Linked DNA regions of Nothobranchius furzeri. The protein of the gene in region 1 purifies or fractionates together with the protein of each later gene. This does not show direct contact. Links are inferred from orthologs where the notes say so. Each region holds a gene or a part of one and is shown on either strand. Other genes may lie near its edges.

Region 1 (11,763 bases):
GAGGCAAAGCCATCGACACTAACTGGCCATCTGTGTACTTACGGCGTAGCTGCTTTATTGTGATTTTATCTTAACTAAATACCACTTGAGTCACTAGTGCAAATCCAATGTATTCATTTATTCTTTTTTTTTTCTTTTTTTTTTATTCATTTATTCTAATAAATATTTTTGGAATACTAATTGCATGTAGGGTTGTCACTGTAACCGGTGTAGCGGTAAACCCTGGTGAAAAAGTTGACAATAATAATAACTGTCTTGTTTAAAAAATATATATTATCTTTGTGACTGCGGTGTAGGCGCGGTGACCCTTACCAGCCACCGTATCATCTGCTGAAGTTGCCGGCGGCACAAGCGCACTTTGTTGTTTACGACCAAAACTTTCTTGAAGCTAAAGCTGAAATAATGGTCAAAGGAGGAGACGGCAGCGCTCAGGACATTCATTATCCGTCAAAGAAGACAAAGTGGGAATTACAGGCATATTTTAGATATTTGAAGAATGCCGAGGGACAGTTGATAGAAGACGGCTATCCTGTTTGCAGCACGTGCAGAAAAAGTGTCTGAGAAAGGCAGCAACGCTTCAAATCTCATGACACATCTGCCTGACCATCACCCACAACTCTACAGTCAACGCAAGGCAAGCTAACGTTAGCGTTTTAGCTAAAATGCGTCATCCGAGGATTTGGGTTGAGGGAGAATGCAACAAGTCGCTATATAAAGCAGCCGCAGCGCCGCTACCTGCATATAAACCGTGTCGCGGACACCGCCATGTTGAAATGACACTATGCATTACGGGGCTCCCAGAGGCAGATAAGAGTTGGTCTCTCTCTGAGAATAATTATGAATTTAACAATGATTACTGCCTGATGACATTTTCCCAAATCTGCAAAGCTCACTGGAAGGACACAAACCGAGGACAATATTTTCCTGATATAGGGTTTATTACTCAAGTAAGGGTAAAAATGTATCTGATTAGAAGGCTACTTGAGTACTGAGTATCATCTGGTCTAATATTTTTAAAATGATGACATCAAACAGACAAAAAATAAGAAGTTATGGGCAAATATTGGTATTTTAAAGGGGAAAAATGTAAATAAACAACATAATTACAAAATAACACATTTTAGGCAAAATTTTGACATAAACCGAGGACAATATTTTCCTGATACACAGGGTTTATTTAGTTGTTTGAAAATGTAACACGTTTAAAAAAATACTGCGATAATACCGAAAACCGTGATAATTTTGGTCACAATAACTGTGAGGTTAAATTTTCACACCGTGACAACCCTAATTGCATGTACATGGTTATTGTACTGCGCTTGTGTCTAATATTTTGTTCCACTAGAGGACGGGATGAGCGATACAAAAATACATTTATTCAAAGATGAAGCGGTCAAGAAAGAGCACAGTGTGGAAACGAAGCCGCACGGCAAACAGACCCGAGGCCAGGACTCGGTCTCTGCCATGGCGCTCCTGCTTGGCCACAGCTATTTTGCATCTGCCTCTTAAGAGTAATTTGATTAATAATATAAAGGAATGTCAGTGTAACAGTTTAGTTCAGTGTAAGGAAACTTAATTTGTTTTTAAAAGTGTGTGCTCCAGAATGTGCAAGCATCGCTGTGCAACAGGTCCTGATGGACAGGTCAACCCTCGACCCACTCGCGCCATTTTGTTTCTGAATATTATAACGAGTGTGCTACTTTGGTTTTGCATCAAAATCTATTAGAATGAGTGAACGAAGAAGTGCACACACGAGTTTATGGTAAACCAATTATGAACCGTACTTCAACTGGTCAAACAAAAATGTTGAAAACATACATCTCTACCGTAGATTTACAGAACACAAATATGTTCTGGTTCTTTTCGGAATGAAAGCAAGACTGTTCTTTCACACAATGGTGTGCTAAATCTTAATGACTTGGGTATCAAAAGACGTAAAACTTCATTCGGTGAGTGCTTTTTTAGGTTTTAGTTTATCAGCCAGTAACCTACTTGAAGCAGGACTGGGTTACTTTATGTAGATGTACTCGTTCATGTACCTTCACTGAAGGCTTCACGTCTCTGGTTCCCAGGATGACCTGCAGGATGCTGTTTTTGCTTTTTAGGAGGCCTCCTGTGCATAGCTGCCATACTCATATTACTGTCTGTAGACACTGGGCTGCCAGGACGATGTCCCGACGGGTTTATTTGGTATTTTCGAGCTGAGAAAAGAAACAGAACATTTTGTTTGTTTCTTTGCAATAACTTCAAATTTGTTGCAGTAATCTTCTGTGTAGAAGTTGTGGACTTTACCTGAGGCTCCGCCCACTTCCTGGACCTGTGAATTGGGGTACTTTGCCACCCTGAGCCCTGAATATTCTGCAGCTGCAGCAACTGCTTGAGCAAAGTCGGCGTCTGTGAAAAAGGAGCCGTCTGATGAGCTGACTGCACTCGACCTCCCCGAAGAGACATTGTCCTCCTCCGAAGCTGAGCCCCATCCGTTGATCATGGAGCCGGTCACCGAGCTTTCCAGGTCGCCCATGCTGGATGCAGGGGTCTGTTCCAGTCCTCGTAGTAGCAACCTTCGCGCATGCATCTGGGGGTGGGGATGGGTATGGTGGTAGTGCATCTTGGCCACCTCTGCGTCTGTTTCATCACCATCCTCCTCCTCCTCTTCCTCTAATATATCCTCCTCTTCCTCCAGACCGTCGGTGTCCAAGGCCAGTGGGCTGCCTATGTATCCATATGTGTGTGAGGGAGAGTGGGGCCTTGGGGGGGGTGGCGGGCTCACAGCATGGCGCCTGCAGGAAGAGATGAAAACATTTTATCAGCATCAGTAAGGATTTAAAAAAATTTCACCAGCTTGCTGTAAAACGGGTCTTTCTTGTTGTAGCTACGTGCTACACCTTCCATCAGTGATGCAAATAAAATATTTAAAATTTTATGCCATAATAACTTGCCATATTGTAACATTCATTTGTCATGCTTTACTGAAATGACTTGGAACTACGACTCCGTGGAAGGTAAGAAATCATTCTAAAAGCTAAGACATGCTTTTGAAAAACGGCTGACGCCGCAGTGCAATGTGCAGAATTTGGAGTTAATGAGCCCAATCATGAAATAAAGTACGCCGAATGAGGCTTTTAGAGCAGATACATTTCCTGAACGCCGCCTCTCAGCGTGGCCAGCATTGTGCTCTGCTCAGTGCCGTTCACACATATACCTGCGTTCATGGCTGTCTGATCCGTCCTGAAGCATCGGCTGCATCTCCTCCTGCGGCGAGGGGGTGAGGGTGGCTGTGGACTGGTGACTGTAGGATATAGCAGCGGGGGAAGAGGCTGCCCCGCGGACAGGAGGAGTAGGCCCCCTCTCCATCTCCTCCTCCTCTAACTCATCAGGCTGCAGGTACATGTGAGAAGGGGGCATGGGGCACTGCATGTCTGGATCACCGCTGCCAGCAGACACAAACAAGCCTTGTTAGCTGCAGATCACTCACGGGTAACGTCAATGTTTTCAATATATTCTGAAGCTGGGAAAAAAAAGAGGAACTAAATATTCATGCATTCCTTCCATCAGGATTTGACACAAACGGAGCTCTAATGGACAGGAAACTCCTGAGGCGAGCACTTGGAATGGTTATAAGAAACAGAAGAACGTGTTCAGAAATTGTCTAGCACTTCAACACCGTGAGCGTCAATGTCAGATTGACTGTCTACCTTTCTTCCATGGACAGTACGTACTCCTCTGTGGTTCGACCCGGGGCTGGGTTTGCAGGAGGAGGGGGTAGAAGGTCAGCCCAATTCATTGTGCTTTGTTTGGGTAGTTTGGGGGTGCGCACTCCCTTCTTGTGGCCCTGACTCCCTGCTCAGAAAAAAAGGGAAAACGGACATTTAATCAGTCACTACACACCTTCATATGCACACGCGTGAATCCTGTGTAGCAGAAACACGTCGGTTATAAACGCCGACAGGAAATGGACAGCATATAAAATGAACATCAACAAGGCTGACTGCAAGAAAGATTGTTGTACACTGGAGAACAGAGAGGCTAATTCGACTGCACTGTCAGAATTCTCTCATTGAGAAAGAAACCGCTATAAAACCCAGCTGTTCTACCACAGGGCTATCAGCTGGTCCGGAGAAAAAAGGTAAGAATGAAGCGTGAAAAGGGTCCAATTAATGCCACACTATTAAAATTGTGAACCAATGAGCTGTGATGTGCAGCAAGCACAAAAGGCCTTTTCTTAATGACTTGAACTTCAAATGTGATATCAGAATGGATACATGGCATTAAGGTGGCAGCGTTGCATGCCGTCTGCTGTGTGTAATCATTTATCCTTGTCCACATCGAGCTCCGGATATTAAACCGCATCACAATAGAATTGAGCTAAATCTGGTTAAAGTAAGCTAGGGCAAAACTAGCACCACAAATACGTAGAGAACTACTTAGAGGCACCATAAAAGGCATACATTTCTTTTTACTCTTGTAAGCATTATCAGGCTCTAGTGGTTCTTTCATTGTTTAGAAGCAGCGCAACTACTCTAATCGGCCCTTTTTTGCAAAGTTTTCATAAAATTTGACAGGATAAATGAATCAGAAAAAGCCTTTAAAGCATATTTTATTAGTGTCACTACGATGATGTATTGCCTTTGTGGAGTATGTGTACGGGAGTCTTGGGTTCACAGTGATTGCAGAAGCTAAAAGATTACTTGGCAAAACATGAAATGTTAATTATTAAAGTCTAAAAGAAGTGGAATAAGTTGATAAGAGATCTGATGATGCGCCTTTAAAGGGACTTAATGGAGTTTTAAATTTTTATGCTTGCGATTGCCCCTCAGGCCAAAAGCGTAACGCCAGCTTCAATAGTAGGCTCGTGCACGAGGCGCGCATGCTGTACGTGCACACTCTTTAACGAAAATAACAGCTGAGACAGTCCCGTGTGTGTGTGTGTGTGTGTGTGTGTGTGGGTGGGTGGGTGTGTGTGTGTGGCCCGGAGGGCAGAGGACAGGAGAACGCGCAGCTAATTAATTAAATAATGTGGTTCTGTACCTTTCTCTTCAGCACAGCCGACAAAGGTTTATGATGGGTCAGTCCTCCTGCATGCTCAGATCATTCCCTTCCCTTGCTTGAAAAATTGTTCCAAAATGAAAGTTGAACCCACATCTTTTTTTATCTGTGAATTCAATGCCGTTCGGCGAGTCTCAAATAAAAATTTGGGCATCTTACTGTAAAAATATACCATTAATGTAAAAAAGAAACTAAATAAACTATGTTCACATCCAGAATCAAACCCAGGTCTTCTGCACGAGAGGCCGATGTTTTACTAGGGGAGCTAAAGCGCCAGTGATGTCATTTGTATCTGTAACATTTATATCCTTGATGACAGCTCAGTCCAGGGAGTGGTCTGGGGTAGCACATGCCACCCTTGGAATCTGATTGGCCACCCCAGGTGTCACCACACAGAATTTCCTTTAAATGGGCGTTTCATTGTCCACAAAAGGCTTGAGGTAAAACAAAAAAGCATAACCACTGGTGCCACATATGCACAAAGTAGTGCCTCACCTGGGCCACCCCATTTTAAAAGATCTGGACACGCCACTGTGACAGCTGAAACAACGTTCAAAGAACGGTTCAGAGCTAAAATGGCTATTTTGTTGCTAATTTGCAGGAAATATCTAGAAGAAAGTTCTACAGAAAGTAGCTAAGTGTCTCCAGAATTGTAGCTAGCTTTGTCACTAGGCGTTAGGAACAGCGACAAAGACTAAAGCTACGGATAGCAAATGCTACGGGCGATGCCTGAGCGTGAACGCGCATGAAGCAGCCTGCTCGACCCGAGCATCTCTCTTTTTCTGTGATTTTACAGAAAAACAGGCAATCACAGTAAAAATGCCAGGGCTCATTCTACAGGACCAGGGTATTGCAGGAGAATGTATGAAGAAGACATTTATTATTTCTATACATGTTTTGGCTGTCAAACTTCCTTAATGCCCCTTTAAGTTGTATTTCTCTATAAAGCCCAACACATCTCACCAGAGGTGCTGCTGCTGCCTCGGTCAGAGCTGTTGTAGGAGCCCCCGGTGTGGCTGTCGTGAGTCTGGTTGTAGGGAATGGTGGCTGGCATCGGACTGTCGCCGCCTCTGTAGCGATCTGTTGGATAGAGTCCAGTTAGTTCATTCCCAGGCGTAACTAGTCAGAGGTCAAAGGAAATCACCCAGTTTCTCATGAAAAGGAATGAAGAACATTGGCGATGTAACCAAAAATTCTCTAATTCTCCTGCAGTGAGCCTAATGTTATAAGGTAAATGCAAAGACAGACATGCAGGATAGATCTCAGGTGACTATATATCACATGCAACACATATCTTTGATGTTAAATGCTAGACAAGGGTCCTTTCACCAGGTAGGATAAGATAATTATAGCTTGATTCAAACAGCTTTGATTTATCTTTGTCGTCTTTATAGAAATGTGACAGATAGAGAAGCGCTTTCAGCGCCCGCCTTTATCAGAGCAATACCCAGAATACCGAGAGAGGATTCAAGCCTGGCCCAAAAGATGATGAAGGATAACATGAATGCCAAACAGACAAGCAGAAAGAAAGAGTGATGATGCCTTTGTGGACTGAAAAAGACTGGGAGGAAAGAGCCAAATGGTGAATAAGCATGAAACTCTTGCATAGACATCCATAGGGTGGCTGAATCAGCCAGGAGAGCAGAGAACAGAGGGGAAAGTCAAGTGGAGGAAGATCATGGCCTGGAGTTGACCTCTGTAACAGAGGCTGCTGGGTACTCCACACACTCACCCTTATTGAGCTTGTTTTGTTCCATGATGCTGTACTGGAGCTGGGAGCCCATTTCCTGTTTCTGCTGCTGGGCTGATGCTGGCTTCCAGCAGTGTTTCTCATTTAATTCCCCTCCACCCCCGAGTCCACCTCCGCTCCCACCGATGACTCTGTCTGAGTTCGTGTTGTTGCTCATGATGGAGGACTGGATGAGCTGAGTGGTGGCGTAAGGTGTTGGCTGGCCCCCTGTGCCTACAAAGCGGCCATCTTTCAGGTTTGGGCTGTTGAAGGTCTTCATTTCATTGATCTTGTTGGACAGGTCCACATCTCCATAGACCCCTGAGTCTGGCACCATGAGGTTGGTCTGCTTGTTATCCATCTGGTTGTTATAATTGGCGATACAGTCGGCTGGAGAACATGAGGAGGGCATTTAGTCAGTCTTTACTGCTGCTGATCAGCTTAGCAGCAGTAAGCCAGCTTGGTAAAAGATTTCAAACAATCTGATCTAATTTGGAGCTTATTCTAACAAAAGACACATTTTCATTTCAAGCTTTGCAAAGATCACTATCCAGTGGAGAAACATTCCATTTTTCTGTTTTAATTTTCAGCTTTGTTCACCAAATGATCCCGTTTCAGGTGTTGCACCAATCTACCAATAACTCAGTGGGGGAGCCATTTTTCCCCCCTCCATCTGACAGCGGCAGCATCCTCCCTCATTGAGAGGGACAGAGAGACATGTCTGTATCAAAGACATGGAACGAGGCACGCAGTAAAAGCACAGCTTCACAGACTGATCCAATTTTCCCTGGCTCATAAAATATTCAAATCCTCCAGCAGGTCTGAGAGCCAGCCTAGCGGTAAATACCAAAGACGGCCATAGTACACGCGGCTCGTGCCACGCGCCTCACATTTCAGCTGCACGGAACAGATCAACACTTCAAAGGACGCTGTGTGAAAGCGCCCCTATGGCTGAGATAAAGGGACATTAACTCCGATTTCTTTGCTCTGTCACCTAGTCAGTGATCCTCTTAATGTTCAGTTTAGTTTTGGCACACACACACACACAAAGCATGCGTCTGGCAAGCTCCTTAGTGTCATATAGCAGGGTGTCATGCAAGGAGAGTGAGGGCTCCAGCCTCTCATACAACCTCAGAGGGGTGATTAGCACAAAGGAAAACTGCACTGGACTATAAAGTCTGTGAAATGAATTATGATTCCTCTCTGAGAGAGGTTTGAAGTCGGGAGAACACCATCGGGAGGCTGGATGGATATTGGGTAGAACAGCTGGACGGGAGTTATGTGCTGCTATTAGAGCCCCAAAGTGCATAATTTAGAACATAAAAGATTTTAGTGGCGTCCAAGTTTCTATGATGGGGTTGTTGGTCATGCTTGAAATATATTAACATTAACTCATGTCATCCATGCGAAAGTTTCTGGGTGCATATTATTCTATAAATACCATACAGTAAATGATTTAGCAACAGTGGACAAGGACCTGGAGCCAAACAAGCTCCCCTTTGCGCAAAAACACCACATCATATTCCTCTGTCTGGTTTCAAATGTTCCTAATTCTCCATCTACTGATCCAGGTGCACCCCCTCTCTCTCCCCCTGCTTCTGGCCATCGCCTGCCGTCCAGCCTTGACCCCCTTGCCCGCTGCACATTTCTTAAACAACTGAGCACTTAGAGGAAATTACATTACCAGCTATAACAACTGTATGGAAATCAGCAGAGCAATTTGATTAGCAACAGAGTCGAGCTATAAGCCCTGCTCAGTGTACTCCTTTTATTTCCTGCCTAAAACGGCTACACTTCAACCTCAAATAAATCATACACACACGCGCATAGCCACTATTCTACTGTTCTCTAGTGGAGACCTGCAGAAGGGAGAGATGCACACAGCAACTCCCTCGAGAGCTAACCTAGATATCAGATCTTACTTCCTCTTGCACTGCAGGTTCCCCCAAGCTCCCACATTTCTTATCACAATAGTTATTTTGTCAAGGACTGCATCGTTGCCTTGGAGAGGAGTGATTTTTTTTTTCTGGTTTCTGCCTGCATGTGAGAGGTGTGGCGTGACTTACCTGGTCTGCTGTACGTTGTCAGGTTGCTGTCACTGTTGCCGTTGCCCGCGGTGCAGCAGTTGATGCTGCAGTCGTTGTGGTTGGAGCACGAGTTGGGCCATGTGTCAGCCAGCCAGGGCTGAGTGGCTGAGTCTCCCATGTTTAGTAAACCAGGCCTGCGAGGAGAAATGAGACCAGATGTTTGACAATGGTAACAAACTAAGCCAGCGCCACAATGACATTTGTCTGAATGAACGAAAACACCCGCAGGAACCTAGTGTTTGGGGGAAGAAGATTATGCAGAGTTTATTTGTGCGGCTGAGAAGAGGAAAACTAAATCCGGTTTGAGTACTTTTTGCCTTTTGGCCAAACATGCAATAAGGAAACGCATAAAAGAGCTAAATATGGAGCGTGTTTGATTTCCACAGAGCTGATGATGCTTGCTCTGAGACCATGTGAGCGTTAGCGATCTGCCTGAATCAGACAGCCAGATAAAATTCACTCCTGATGTTGCTCCCTGAGTAAATTCAACGTCACACAAAAGCTCAGTTTTCTGTTAAACACACATGCAAAATAGAGTTTTTTGTGTCTTTGTTCTCCTGTTTAGTACAGTGCAGCTGATATAACATCACTTGTTAACAGGATTATTCTGTAGATCTTGACCTTTGCTGCAGAAAAAAACAGCACAATATTTTTTTTTTCCTATTGCTGATTAAACAAATCAATCCAGCGTAAAAAGGGAAGCAGTGTACTCTAGCGGGGCTGCATACTGCTTTGGTATTCAAAACTCCCGGACCGCATATCCCAGCACTGAATTAGCATTGAATTACATTTCCTCATTCCACCCGTAATGACTCATTTCTTGGATTAATTTTGGGTAATGAACACATTTGTCTTGTACGGCCAAATACAATCTCACAATAGCTCCTCAGTCACCCCGGCAGTTGTATGTTGATATTGAACGACCATTGTTTAGTGCAGAGCTGACACAGCCGCACTGGAAACAGGATTCAATCATACAGCTGGAGTAATATAATGAATATGGATTTACTGTTGATGGCTTCAAGCTAACTATTCATTAACACACACACACACACTTATGGTGCAGCATTAAGTACATTCTGTTCTCTGAGCAGAAATCGGATAATAACTGAATGCACCCCCCCCCTTACACACACACACACACACACGTATTCCATTTACCAGCTATATGACGACATGCCAAAGGCCATCCAGAGGATAAACAAATTAGTTTTGGCAAGTGTAATGCTGTGCAGTCTCACAGCTTGTGTGTGGTGCACCATCCAATAGGCACGTAGTTGCTGCTGTGCACATGCACGGGTCTCTGTTCCTATTTTAGAGCGATGCTATGGCACAGCCTTGTGGTAGGATGTGGCGTTCCAGCACATGGGATGGGCTCCCATCCGACTCGGCCTGGTCTTTGTTCCTCAACCATTATTACACCCTTTATACTACCTGCTGCCTTGGAAAGACTCAGATCGCCCCCTAGTGTTTGGGAAAGAAAAGTGCATGTGCCCATCCCTTTTTTGTCTGTTCTGAAGGTTCAACACCCCGTTTGAAAAATCAAGTCTAATAATGTAATTTTCTGAGACATGAAAAAATAAATTGAAAGCAGTCACACACTTAAAAAAAAGCCTTACCTTCCAGCACTGCTGATACTTTCTCCACCTCTTTGATATGCCACTAAACAAAGAACACATATTAGGTTTCCATCATGATTTCAAAGCAAACCTTTTTATTGCATCATCATTTATACAACTGTCATAATAAGTCAAAAGTAAATGAATCATTTCTGCATTAAATGACAATTATTGTGTTTGAGGTGTGTGCACGATTCCAGTCGAGTCACAAATACGTTTTTAAAGCGACTGGAGCAGGACGAGGATGCATCGGAGGCTTATGAAGAAGAAAGATGCAGAGCTCTGTAGTTTCTAGGTTCTGTGTATTTGAAGCTGTGCACATAGCACGTTGGACTCTTAAGGACCCTCTCTAAGCTGCCAGTGTGTGAAAGGAAGATAAACTTCCAACTTTAATTACAATTAAGGTGGGAGAAGACAAGGCAGGGCCTTAGCTCTGCTGCGTCTCCGTCTTCTTTTCACAACAAAGTACCGTGTGGCTTCTGTTTTTACAGCCTGCACAAAGCAGAGGTATAACTGACACAATCTCCACTGAAATCCACCCAATGAGCTACTCACACAACACTAAAGGATGTGTCAGGCCTAATCACACCAATAAGGAGCAAATCTCACCATTAGAACATGAAACGGGTCTACAGCTGCTAAGTTATTTGACCTGATTGCATCGCTCAAGGCAGACAGAAACACAAATGCTCGTGTAGCTGATAGATAGGATCTACTGGTGTTGCAACAAGCATCGGCTTCAGGTGCTGTTAAACCTGCTCAGTGGCCTAGTGGTAGAGTGTCCACCCTGGGACTGGGAGATCGGAGTCCAATTCCCGCTCGGGTCACTCAGCTTTAAGGGGGTTTAATAGTTCCCGAGCGCAGCCACAGCTGCAGCTCACCGCTCCCCTCTTGTTGCAACCATGACACAGCTCCGGTGGACAAAGAGGTTCAGATGGATTAAAGTTCATTATTTAAAGAAAAAGGAGGAAGACTGCAGCCATGAACTCAAAGACGGAAAGTTTTTATCCGTTTCACGCCGTGCCACTTTGATTCACAGGGGTGTTAGCGGTGTGTCATTCTAAAAAATCCCATCTGAGGTTGCCAGCAGCTCTTTGATCAAGTTACTATGAGTTTTAACAGCCTCCCAGAAGTGTGTCCCCTTCTCTGGCACCAAGTTCTGACAGTCCAAACACTCGCCAGAACATTCGTTTTCAGGTAGCGGCTACTCACCGTTTCCCTTTATTAGCTTACATCATGGTGTCCCTTCACTGACTTCACTACAGTTAATGAATCTGTACTG
Region 2 (12,473 bases), on another chromosome or scaffold:
ATGAATGAAAACAAGCTCTTTGTTTTCATTTCCTGATCCTAACCATGCATCTTTTTAATAAACCAGCAGTAGAGCTCCTGCATCTAAAATCAGCTGATTTAAGCACACCTAAAATCTCAGAATTCACTCTCGCTGTTACAGTATGTGACCCAGTTTCTTCATGACGAAGAAAATCTGATTCAAATGTTTCCTTCCCTCGGGACCTTCCACAGCACTAATTAGGCACGGGCACCACTCCTACATTTGAAGAAACCTTCAAATAAAAACAGGCTAAAAGCAGTTTCTAAGTAAGCTAGCACCTGGATTGCTGATGGGAATGCTACTCGGCAGTTTGCCTTTTGATCTGTCTTCCCTCCTAACCCCGTTTGGCTTTAGCGCACTGAGGGAAAAGCATTAGTCCACAAAAAGAAGACAAGAGGCTGACTAGGAGCAGATACTGTAACCATAGTGAATCTTCCCCCACTTCCCGAAGGACCGGCGATTAATAATGGATGATCTGCTGCTGAAACTGAACCGCATGTGTGGATGTAGGCACAGAAACTCAGCATAGACGGTTTCTCTTTTTTATAAACATGTGCACTTCAAAAAGCTTAAAGATCCATGTGCGGGCTCTGAGATCACAGAGGAAAAACATTAAAAATAAACGCGGTACGAAAGTTGGGGAGGTAGTTCTCTGGCTCTCGGGACTCTAATGTGGGATTTCTGTCTGCGCTTCAATCTTTTCATCTATTTCCAGCTCAAGGCGTCATTCCCTTTTTCCACTCTTATCACAACCACTTCCTCGTTGGGATTGCACTTTGACGGCTCTCAGCGTCTCACCTGCGAGTGCACCGTGCTGTGGTCGGCGTGAGATTCCCCACAGCCCACGTAGGCACAGCCATCCTGGAGAGGGAATCAGAAGATGAAGGCACCATGATGTTTAAGAGGAAAGGATCGGCTCGACGCATTCCCTGGGAATCATTGTCTTACCTCCAAACACGCCCACAGATTCGGTCCTCTGACTTTGCAGTCTTGACACTGACCCTGATGAGATGTGAAGGTTAATAGGAAATTGTGAAAATGCAGTAAAAACAAATTAATTCCTCAAAGTAAACAAATCACATCAGTTTTAAACTAAAATCTGAATTTGGAAAGGTTTTAAAAGATCTATGAACAATCAGTTACTATCACCACATATATATAAAAATGATATTTTCTTCTTCTTCTTCAGTTTACAGTTTTTATTTTCTGAGGCCTGAGGACCATGGCGGCCATCTTTAATTGAGTTGAATCCACTACTTACTAGATTACCTTCTAGGAATCGCATTAAGGTTTACCTTAAAGTGAGTTGGTAAATTTCAGCAGGGTCACTTACATGAGACTTCTGAATTAGTTCCTCCTTGGTGATCTCCCCCACACAGTCCAGGTGGGGGCAGTCACAGCTGGATGTCGGCGACATCGCTCACCGACCAGTCTACGTGAGAAACGCAACACTGAGAACACAACTCCAGTTTGGGTTTGAGTAACTTTCCGGACTCAGAATGAGCTTTTTGCTTTATAGAACACTGAAGACAATAGTCAGGTTACTGTCACCAGAGTCCTCACACCTGACAGGGTTTTCCACACATACTCAAAATTAGTAAGCTGTTGGCTTGCCAAGCCAGAAATCATCAACCAGCTGTCAATAACTCTGAACCAGTTATGCCAGCTTCCTGCTACAGCTAAACATATTGTGACTTTTTTCTTACGTTATAATACTGCTTTGATCTATATAAAACATGATTATGTTTAAGTCCTTTGCACCAATTACCTCCAACATAAAACGATTTCAGCAGTTTGATTCTTGATATTTCTAGTACCTTCCAGAATGAGCCGTTTCAGGTTTTTGTCTCTTTAAGAAAACAAGCTGGAGCTGGCCACGCCCATCCCCCCACTCAGGCTGCTATTGACCCTTTGCACGTGACGTCACGCCACTCATGTGACCGCCCCCTTTGCCATGATGGACGGCAAAAAGACTGTTTAAACCCGTTGAAACTCCAGTGAAGGTAGTCAAAACAAGCCAGTTTGTAGCCTTTTATCGCTTTTATTTAGTTGACTTGACAGTAAAATGGTTTTAGCGTGCTGCGTGGTTGGCTGCACTAACAGATAAGGATGTAAGCTCAACTCGTTTTGTTTTTTTAATAACTTTGATGGAGACAGAGGACGGAGATGAACTGCAGCGATCAATCAGGCAGACTAGCAGCCCTCAAATTTACAGCAAACACATTTTTACCGGGTAAGATTAACGTTCATCTATTTCACGAGGAATACAGGGACAGGGATAAATGTGATGTGTTTATACAAGTTATTGATAATCCTGATGGATGGGTATTTCACCACGGAGACCGCGCTCCATCCACTGTAGTGTAAAGCGAGACAATTATTAACAATATTAAAGCTCCGATGTATAATTACGTGTGTTAAAATTACGTTATTTATTTATATGAGCGTCGGCGTTCAGAGATCTTCTCATTCTGGTGTGAAAGCAGCAGCTGAACCCGGTAACACCACCAGCAACAGAAGCTGGTAGGGATCCAGACTTTTTAAAAATCAGCTTTTGTGTGAAGTGAAACGCTGTTTACAACATAAAGTTATAAATCCAGAGGGGTGAATTTAAGCAAAGTCAGCAACATGTTTACATCGGTGAACAGCCGCAGAGGAGGAGTTAACGTTGGTAAGCTCTCTATGAGCCCCCGCTAGATGCGCTACTTCTGATAACTGAACTGGGCATAAACTAGTTGAAGGAATGCTGGAGGAGTTTTGTTTTTGTTTTGATCGCAAAAACAATTTCAGGCTCTACTTTTCCCTTTGTTTAGTACTCGTGCCGCTCACTGTTTACATGCTTTTGCCGTCCAGCATGGTGGACCCATGTGATTAGGTGACGTCGGTGCAAAGGGTCAATAGGGAGCCTAAGTCACGCCCATCTACATCCGGACCGTGGGTCCCCGGAAGAACGAAAAAATGAATGCAAGTCGATGGGGCTAAAAAAGCTATTTTCTAATTCTGCTTGTTATGTACCATGGGTTTCACATATGATGTCTGTGAATTTTAAAGAAGCATTTTTATGCCAAGAACGTGTTTATTTTTGAACGAGGGGAAATGTTATTTTAGGTTTTGTGTGAAAATAAGTCCAGGACTACAAATGCGCTTCACGAAAGTGACGTCATCAAACCAGACACGGAGAAAACTGAGGGAAAATGGCTGTAAGTTTAGCAAACCTAAAATCCTTTCTTCAGGAGGAAAAGAACCACCATAAATCTGGCCATGTGGTAAGTAGTAGCTACACTAGAGGAGAGGAGTTTCATGACATCACATATGCGACATGCTGATATCTAATTTGTCGTCATGCTAATAACGAACTTTTACAAGCTTTTAACCCCGTTGACTTGCATTCATTTTTTCATTCTTCCGGGGACCCATGAACCGACCGGAAAGGGAGGAGACTTAGGCTCCCTAATGACCCTTTGCACCTATGTCAGCTGATCACGAGGGTCCAACATATTGGACGACACAAGCTTAATAAACAGAGAGCAAACTGAGTGCTGAACAAAGGGAAATGTAGTGCCTGAGATTGTCTTCTGGTTGTTTTTGTGATGTTGGCTTGGCATTCCCTGAATGTGTATGAGTTAGGCCTTCATTTATGTTGACTTTAATTCCCTGCTTTCATTGGTCTCTTTATCTCTGTTTTACCCATTTGTTTTCTACTTTAATGTTTTTACCTTTTTTTCTCATGTACTGTGTTCAGCGCCATGGGCTTCCCGACAGGGTCGCGGAAGGCACTTTATAAATAAAGCTTTGATTGATTGATTGATTGATTGATTGATTGATTGATTGATTGATTGATTGATTGATTGATTGATTGATTGATTGATGTTTAGCGTTACTTCAACTAGTTCAATCCCAGTTCAGTTATCGGAAAAAGCAGCACACTTAGGTGGGGCAACAGTGAATTATGGGAGAATTGAATGGAGAGGGAAAATTTGAGGTTGTTTTTTTGCCAGTTTAGCCTGGTTTCTACTGGTTCTAGCCCAGTTCACTTGTGGGAATATTAGCACACCTTGGTGGGGGTCATAGAGAGTAGTGTTTACAAAAGTTATGTGTTAGCTAGAAGTGTGACTTCACGTGCAACGGGTCAATAAGCTGAGAAGCTCTGATATCTGGGAGGGGCTCAGAGTAGAGCTGCTGTTCCTCCAGCACCAGCTCTCTTGCACATGAGGTGCTTCTATTCAAATTTCCCCAGTTGTGACATCACAAATGAGGACTTCGTGAAACAGCTCATTTTAAGCACATAATTCCTAAAACCAAACACTGACAGAAAACGAGTACACTGATTTTTTGGGAGTGTTTACAGAGGCAGTATACTAGAGACCCACTTGGAAGCACAAAATTATGCAAAAGGTGAGCTTTGCATAATATGTCCCCTTTAACATCATCTATAAAAGCCTTTGTTCTGGTAAAAATATGAAGCTGTGGTGGAGAAACATCTTCACCCATGTTCCCAATCACTATCAGCCACAACAGCTACTAAATGTTTATGGGAAAGAATGACGAAGAAACAACAAACACACCGAATGTGAAAGTCACCCAGGAATCTGATTTCACACCCAGTTCCTAAGTGGAGGTTAAACAGGAAGGCCACATCCAGCAGGCTGGATAAATGACGGAAGACAGAAAGGAATAAAACGGGTTTATCCTGCTGCACAGCCAGCACCAAACCACTGATAAGATACGTAATCTGCTTTCTATTCCTCCATGATTTTACAAGATTCTATTCTGAGGCTTCATCTTATAGGCTCTTATCATTTCATTGCTGTTGTTGACTCTGGTTTTTGTGCAGGTTATGTTATAATTGTGTTGTTTTAACTCCAAATACATTTTGAGTGTCAGAACTAATGTAAACAGCTTCATAAGATGCAGACTTGCATTAACTCTCATTGTTTTACTTCATTTTGCAGAGAAGAAAAGAAGAAAGCGTTCAGAGGGATGATCGGAAATCATTAGAACTTTCTGTTGATGGGCCTTTTGGCAAGGGAGTAAAATCCCACCGCCATCAACACATGAAGATTTTATGCATCTTTAAAATTATTTATCAGGGAAACGGGACATAAACTCAAAGAATGAAAGAAGACAGGAGCTTTTTAGGGTCTGTTTATTAATAGTTTAGTAGGAGGAAGTGCTGCATCGTGTTGATTTAGATTCTCATCCATCCACTACATGGCAATCTGAAAAAAATTGATTTTAAAAGCTTCTTTAATTCTAAAATGTAACGAGTAAGGTTCTTTTCTGATCTAAAACCTATATATCAGTTAGCTTCACAGCTATGAAATGTCAAAAACAAATCAAACATAACACCTCTGTTATGTCACGTTATTATCACGATACGTGTCACACAACTGCTAGTTAATGCCTAACTGGGAGACAAACTGCATGAAATTGCTTTTCACACAAACAATAAACAAAAAATGTGATATGATATGACTAAGATATGCTGGATGTTATCGGACCATTCTCCTGTGATTGCGGTGAACTTTGGAAGAAAAAAGGATCAAGAGGTCAAGGAAAAATAAATTCAATGTTCCTGCAGCTGTAAATACAGCTAGAAGTACACAGCAGGACACAGCAGAGGGAATACCTATTCAAACCAATACAATACACTCCGTGCCTCCATAAGTCATGTGACATTATATTAAATACCAGTGGTAGATGGGATGTAACCAAGTTCATTTACTTCAGTCCTACCGATTCCAGACAAGCTAAAATGATTTTGTTTTACTTTTAGTCACTTTTACACAGAGAAAATGTTTAAATTAATGTTGATTTGACAGCTTTTCTAACTAATTGCATTTAAGAATGGAATTTGGATGCCACATGTTTTCTAAGTACAGCAAGATAAATAAAGATTAAAACAGTTTTTCACATTTTTTACTGTTTGATGTATTTTAAAAAAGCAATGCTTAGCCAGAATTACATTGTAGACGACAATTCAGTTAATAGCTCCCATAATCAGACATATTTCTGTCCATACTGTTAACAGTTGTGGTAAATTATATCCAAGTTATAAAGATTACTTTGAATGCTAATCAAAGCCAGACGTGCTAGCCTGACCTGCCAGACTTGTCCTCTGTCTACGCAGGGAACTATGCTTCCCATTAGGAAGCATGGGGTTGGCTGGTCAGGCTAGATTTGTGCATCATCAGAATTTTGCACCTCTCCTCATCCGATAATTATTGGATAACTGATTTATTAGCTGTCTCTGTTTAAAAGCAGTTCTGCCTTATGGAGCTACCTCAGTAACAATGATGGTCCAGTATCTAACATAAAAATGTATCTGCTAAAGTGACCATATTTTACTAAAATGTTCAGCCACCACCTTTGCACCTTAACAGTAATAAGGATGGATATTAGAAACAAAATATTTATATATATATATATTTTTTTTTTTTGGTAGTATTCTGAATACATGATCTACAGCTAAAAACTGTACAAATGAGTGGTACTCTAGGGTGGGGCTTTCAGACAAATTTCACATATATACAGCTAATCCTGTTCTTAATAACATGCATTAATACATTTTTGTCAACAGAGAAAATATGAATTAATTATATCTTAAAGGCACAAAGTTGATCCGTTAAAACATGTAATCATTAGCTTAGCAAACAGCCAGTCCACAACAGGTTAGCAATAACTATTGTGCAGAAAACGTGATGTTAGCGTCATTACCTGAAACCCAATCAGAGAAAGTGACAGAAAAAGTCCGTTTAATCACTTAATTTTTTTTTTTACTGTAGGTTTCAAAGCGGAAGCGAGTTGTCCTTTTGTCCCAGATAAAGTCAGTGGTTAATGCAGAAGTGTGTGGCTTCGGCCTAGTGAGCTGTCAAAATATGTAGAGGCGTCACAGGCTGGCTGGCCATCTTTCGCTGTTAGCGTTAGCTAACTACTATCCGTTTTAATTCAGTGTGTTGCAACTTAACCTTACCACTAACCACTAAAAACAAAACATATGTGTATTACGCTAAATCACACACCGAAAATGTTCCGGTTCGATGGTTTATAACGTATAGTCATCTCACTACGAACATGCTAACTGGTTAGCAAGCTAAAGCTACTGATGATCAGTGACAATCGGACCTCACAGGAGTCAGCAGCATCCAAAAAAAAAGCCCAGATTTGGTCCTTACCAGCTCCTTAACAAGACACGCTGCTTCTCGCGTAGATCCAACTGTTCCTGGCGTATCTCACATTGGTTTTAGAGACATTTCAGAAGAAAATCCTCCACAGTAAAGACAACGCTACCGTCACTCAGCGTGGTTGCTAACGTTACAACTAGCCCCGCCCATTTTCCGGTTTAAAATGTATGAATCCTCCCCATTTTACTGTACAAAGTTTTTGTTTACATTGTTATAAATATTATCAAATGGCACTTGTATAGCTTTAGGACAAAGGAGCCCAGCATTATCAAAAATTATATTTTTAAATAAAATGTAATAATAATATCTTACTGAACAAAATATTGAGTCATCATGCAGATTGGTTGGATTTTGACGTTGTAACAATGCAGTTAAATTTGTTAAGATAGAGTAGAGATTTTTAAAATACAAAATCAGTCACCTGGCTGATACACAATGTATGGGGAACACCCACCCAAGCGCGATCTAGCGTAAAAAGGGAAATAACATCCAAATCAACCAATCAATTTCCCTCTGGGATTAATAAAGTATTTTTGAATTGAATTGAAACCAAATAAAATACATGATCAAACATAAACATGATGCTTAAAATGTGCTTTAGTCATAGAAATATTTAAAAAGATAGAAGTATAACTGAGACATTTTAACATTTAAAAGCGAGAGATATGTGGGGAAAAGAAAAATTTTCATGACTTATAAAATCTTTAATATATAAAATCAGATTTTATTTTTATTTTGTGAACTAGAGTAAATTAGAAGAAAACAAAACATTGTCATTAACAACAAAAAATAAAAGTCATACAAAAATTTTTTGAAAACACCATGATAATAACTGTTATTAATATCTAAAATATCTTTCACAAATTGCTGTCTAATTTACATTAGTCAGTGTTCCCCCGTGTGTGTGTGTGTGTGTGTGTGTGTGTGTGTGTGTGTGTGTGTGTGTGTGTGTGTGTGTGTGTGTGTGTGTGTGTGTGTGTGAATGGATGAATGGTACATTGTAGGGTAAAGCCCTTGGAGTCCTCTGACTCTGAAAGGCGCAGCTCGTTATCAGGTTGACAATGGAATATGAATAATCTGGCGAACTCTGGTGTTCAGAAGTGGTATTGCAACAACAGGACGAATTTTCCAGCAACTGGGATGTTGGCTCACTGCTGTCATGTTCCAGCACCGTGTTCAGAGACAAATCATACAGGATAAGGACTCATTTCTAATAATAGGTTTATTTTACAACAGTACGTACAGTTAGAACATCTTCTGGGCTCAGAGTCAACTGTTTGACTTGTCAAGTCTGCCACAGTCCCAACCTTGCCTTGTTGGGCGGTGCCCTCTAGTGGCTGGTAGATGAAAATATATCACAGTGTCGTGCTGACAGAATAAAAATATGATTATGTGTCTTTTTAAATTATAAAATATTAAAATAAAGGTTTAAAAGGAGAAACTGTACATTTATTCTGCACACCTCTGAGCACCCCGTGGAGGTATTGTTTTTAAATATAGGTTTTTATTAAAATGTTCCATTTTCTAACTTTATGTGACATAAAGTTAGTGATGAACAATAACGTAAATTAGATTAAATGGAACATTTTATTTGAAACATTGATATGTAGTGAGCAAAAAGAGTCAGAAAAATGTTATAAGTCACGTTTACAGTGTGTTCATCAAGAGTTCTATAAAAAATATGGCTTATTTTAACAGCTGACCTAAAACCTACACCTCAAACATTTACTTCAAAGTAATTTTTAAATTGCAGCTTTTTAAATTTTTATTTTAAACTCTCATTGTTCATGTAAAATCCATGGCAAAATCACATACATTAAAGAGCAAGTCACCCCCAAATCAACTATTTTTTTCTGATAAACTATATAAATGTGTGTCTAACCGTGCTGCAGACACGTGTAGTCAGTAGTTTTGCACTTTAGTGCATTTTATTAAAATTTAAATTTTCTGCCTGAAACTGTCAGTGTTGTGCCGTTGTCAGGTAAAAACTCTTCACTGCATTTGAATTTAAATCTGCCACCGCTACTGGCTAAGAGGTATGCTATGATGTAAACTGGTACATTATGATGTCACAATGCCGTGAGTGTGTGTATTTGTTAGTGGCTCCACCCTCTCGGTCTGCTAGGCAACAGCATTTGTTGCATTTTTCAAACATGAAGTGGGAGTGAAGTACGCTTCTTGTAAGGGGTGACTTGCTCTTTAATTTTGTAATTATCACGTGAGACCCTTAAATAATGTAATACGCAACCAAACCAAAGAGGGCGCCAAAGCTCCACAAATGTAAATAAGATGAGCGCTTTTATTTTGAAAGCCAAACCGGAAGAGGGCGTTTGTAGCTCAAGCGAGTCCTTCAATCGTCTGGAACCGACTGAGGTCAACCGGAGGACTGAACGAAACACCGGGAGAGGACACCGTGAAGGAAATCTTAACGAGTAACGATAATGTGTTTTCCATCTTTAGTATGTTACATTCAGATAGGAGACAGCGTGTAAATACAAGTTTGAAACTGTTTTAGCTAGTTTTTGTATGCTGTTTTCTTAGCTAGCCTTTAGCTTCCCATTGAAGCCGATAAGTATGATCCAGCCATGTGCTAAAGTGATTTTCTGATACATTTCTTGATTTTCTTCTCGACAGAAAGGCTTTTTCTATGAAAACATTTATGGATTTTTTTCCCCCCACAACATTTGCCGTTAGATGAATGTGTTTTGGTGTAATTCAAGCTCATTGTATTATTGTGTATTATTGTGGTGCCATGCAGATGCAGCAACACAAAAATATCTAAGTGCTTTTAACATGTGGCTAAGACAATAACTGGTGAAAAGGAATGAGTATTTTAAGCATTTTTTTTAAATTTTGTTACAAGAAAGCGATTGTTTTAGCTTAAGTTGAAACAAACTTGCAGAATTTTAGTTTTAAATGCAGGATTTGGAATAGTCTTAAGTCTAAAATCAAGTCTGCTTCTTTATTCTTTAGTTTATTGCGCGCTGTAAAAATTCTGTCTAGTTTAGATTAATTTTAACTAAGATTGTAAATAAGGTAAAATATTCAATTCTTACACATATTATACACGTGCCAGCAAGCTTTAAGTGGATGAAGTTGATTAAAAATACAATATAATATATTAAAACAGATTTTAAATGTCTTAGACAAATTTGATTAGATGTTTCCCTGTCCTGCCAAATGGATTTATGACATCAAATAATATGTGGTACGTGCTTGTTTTTATATAACAGTTGTATGGTAACAGAAAGATAAACCCCATAATGCTTTCATTTGCTGCAATTTTGGGTAAGACTTATTATTTCTTTCTTTTGTAGGGTGTTCTTTCAGGTCATTGCACTAACGTTAAGACCTGAATTTACTGGCTTTACATAAGATCCTCTCCTGAGCCTCTAAGGTGAAATCTCTTCTCGTCTCTTCTACAGCACCAGTGAAATGTTGAGGACAAAACTCCTGCCAAGACATGGATAGAGAGCCACAATGACACATGAGAACCTCACAAGCTCCCAGCTGTCTGTGAAAGCTGCTGCCCTGCGCATGGTTGACCTCTCGCTATCCGTCTACAGCTCCCTGACACAGGTGAGCAAAAGAAACGATCACTTGGAGCTCTTACTGGGATCAGTTTTAGGGTACATCATTCATACATGAAAGAAAACATACAGACCTTCAGATGACAAAAAAATCTCAGTTAAATCTAAACCTCAAATTGATTTTCATGCACAAATCTCAAGCGTTCCCCTCCATTTCTTTTGTTTCGCTTTGTGTTTTTTCATGTTCTTTAGAGCAGTAAGTACCTTATATTTTCCATTTGTTACCCAGATGCTGTTCTGTTTATTACATAAGACACAAGAGTGTTTGAGTCACAGAGCTGGTCTGATATTATTAGAGTTGTCTGGTAGAAGCTCATTTGATATGTGGCAACAGCAGTTATGGATGCAGCTCTGAAGCTCCGCAGAGCTGCAAGGCTTCAAAGTGGAGGCAAAGCAATCAGATCAGCACATCCCCTCTGGTCTTTTATGCTATTCTGATTTAGATGCAGGTTTTGGGACTTTGAACTCTGCTTTTGTTGTGGACAAATATTAGTTTACGTTAGATTTCTGTTCAGAATTTTTTAACCCTCATAAATGTAAGTGTTGTTGAACTTCTGACCCTCCAGGTGAGCGTCAGCTCCAGCGCCAAGAGGCTGGTGGCTGCTGCTGCATTCGGAACTGCCTCGCTCCTCCTCCTCGCTCACCGCTTTCGGAGGAGGAAGGGCAGAAAGAAGGGTCCCTCTCCACAGTGGAAGGAGGCTGGTTTTGATGTTTACTCTCCAGCCTCAGCAGACAATGGTGAGATGTTTTACTGTCTGTCCATCAGCTCTGTAATCCGCATCCTAGAAGTAACTGGAGTTGAGTTGCATTTGAGAGGGAGCCCTCCTGCTGTGTTTAAACATTGTTTTGTAAGCTTATCTCTAAAGTGTTAAACATTCTCTTCCCAGATAACACCAGCCAAACCATCAGCGTCTCCCTCAACTCCAAGAACACCAGCTCAGCTGGTTCTGGACTGGTTCTCACCACGAGAGATTACAGAAAACTCTCTGGGTCTCTGATGAGCTTGGCCTCGGTAAGACGCATCTGATGTTTCTATTGAAGGCCAAGTTCACTGAGAATAAGTTTTTACTTGTATATATTTTTTTTATTATGATTGATCATTCTTGGTTTAACCTGCAGGCTAAAGGGTGAAAATAGTCTCCTACCACTTTTTCCTGTATTAGCCGACAAAAGAAAAATATTCTAGGAAATGCTCGTATTAGAAAAGCCTACATTTGCATGTCATGATGACAAGATAGCATTCAAGGACTCACCCATCTTAACTCGTGACGGGGAAGGCTGTTGTTCATTTAGCGTCCAGGAGAAAACAGAGCAGTTGGCTACAAGCTAACTGTTAGCATTAGCAACTCCTTGTTCTGCTCTCCCTACCTCTTTCCTTTTCACTCTCTCTCTTTCTTTACATTTTTAATCACAATTGTCTATTTTTTGCTCATTTAAAATATATTTTTAAACATTTTCTAAATTATTTTTATATTTTTACATTTTTTGTTTTTGTGAAGCGCCTCGTGATTTTTATCTTGAGAGGCGCTATAGAAATGATATTTTCTTCAAATGCAGTGCAGAGTTTTTACCTGACAACGGCACAACACTGACAGTTTTAGGCAGAAAACTCAAATTTTAACTAAAACGCACTAAAGTGCAAAACTATTGACTACACGTGTCTGCAGCACGATTAGAC

The links.
Region 2: the proteins of robo1 (region 1) and usp33 purify together in Homo sapiens (affinity purification with western blotting; 5 studies listed by BioGRID and IntAct, with this or other methods). This does not show direct contact. The link is inferred for Nothobranchius furzeri from reciprocal best matches to the Homo sapiens genes ROBO1 and USP33.

Annotation. Positions count from the first base shown.
Region 1 is NC_091753.1:53,956,056-53,967,818, forward strand, and holds part of robo1 (roundabout homolog 1), read right to left. Parts: intron 10,525-11,763; coding exon 10,482-10,524; intron 8,997-10,481; coding exon 8,842-8,996; intron 7,166-8,841; coding exon 6,779-7,165; intron 6,127-6,778; coding exon 6,010-6,126; intron 3,841-6,009; coding exon 3,696-3,840; intron 3,431-3,695; coding exon 3,203-3,430; intron 2,781-3,202; coding exon 2,293-2,780; intron 2,202-2,292; coding exon 2,040-2,201; intron 1-2,039. UniProt on the Homo sapiens protein: Receptor for SLIT1 and SLIT2 that mediates cellular responses to molecular guidance cues in cellular migration, including axonal navigation at the ventral midline of the neural tube and projection of axons to different regions during neuronal development.
Region 2 is NC_091751.1:41,925,293-41,937,765, forward strand, and holds the start of usp33 (ubiquitin carboxyl-terminal hydrolase 33), read right to left. Parts: upstream 7,337-12,473; 5' UTR 7,197-7,336; intron 6,852-7,196; exon of another isoform or gene 6,739-6,851; intron 1,454-6,738; 5' UTR 1,439-1,453; coding exon 1,355-1,438; intron 1,024-1,354; coding exon 970-1,023; intron 883-969; coding exon 820-882; intron 1-819. Other genes in the region: miga1 (mitoguardin 1), read left to right, coding at 10,686-10,784, 11,362-11,533, 11,683-11,807. UniProt on the Homo sapiens protein: Deubiquitinating enzyme involved in various processes such as centrosome duplication, cellular migration and beta-2 adrenergic receptor/ADRB2 recycling.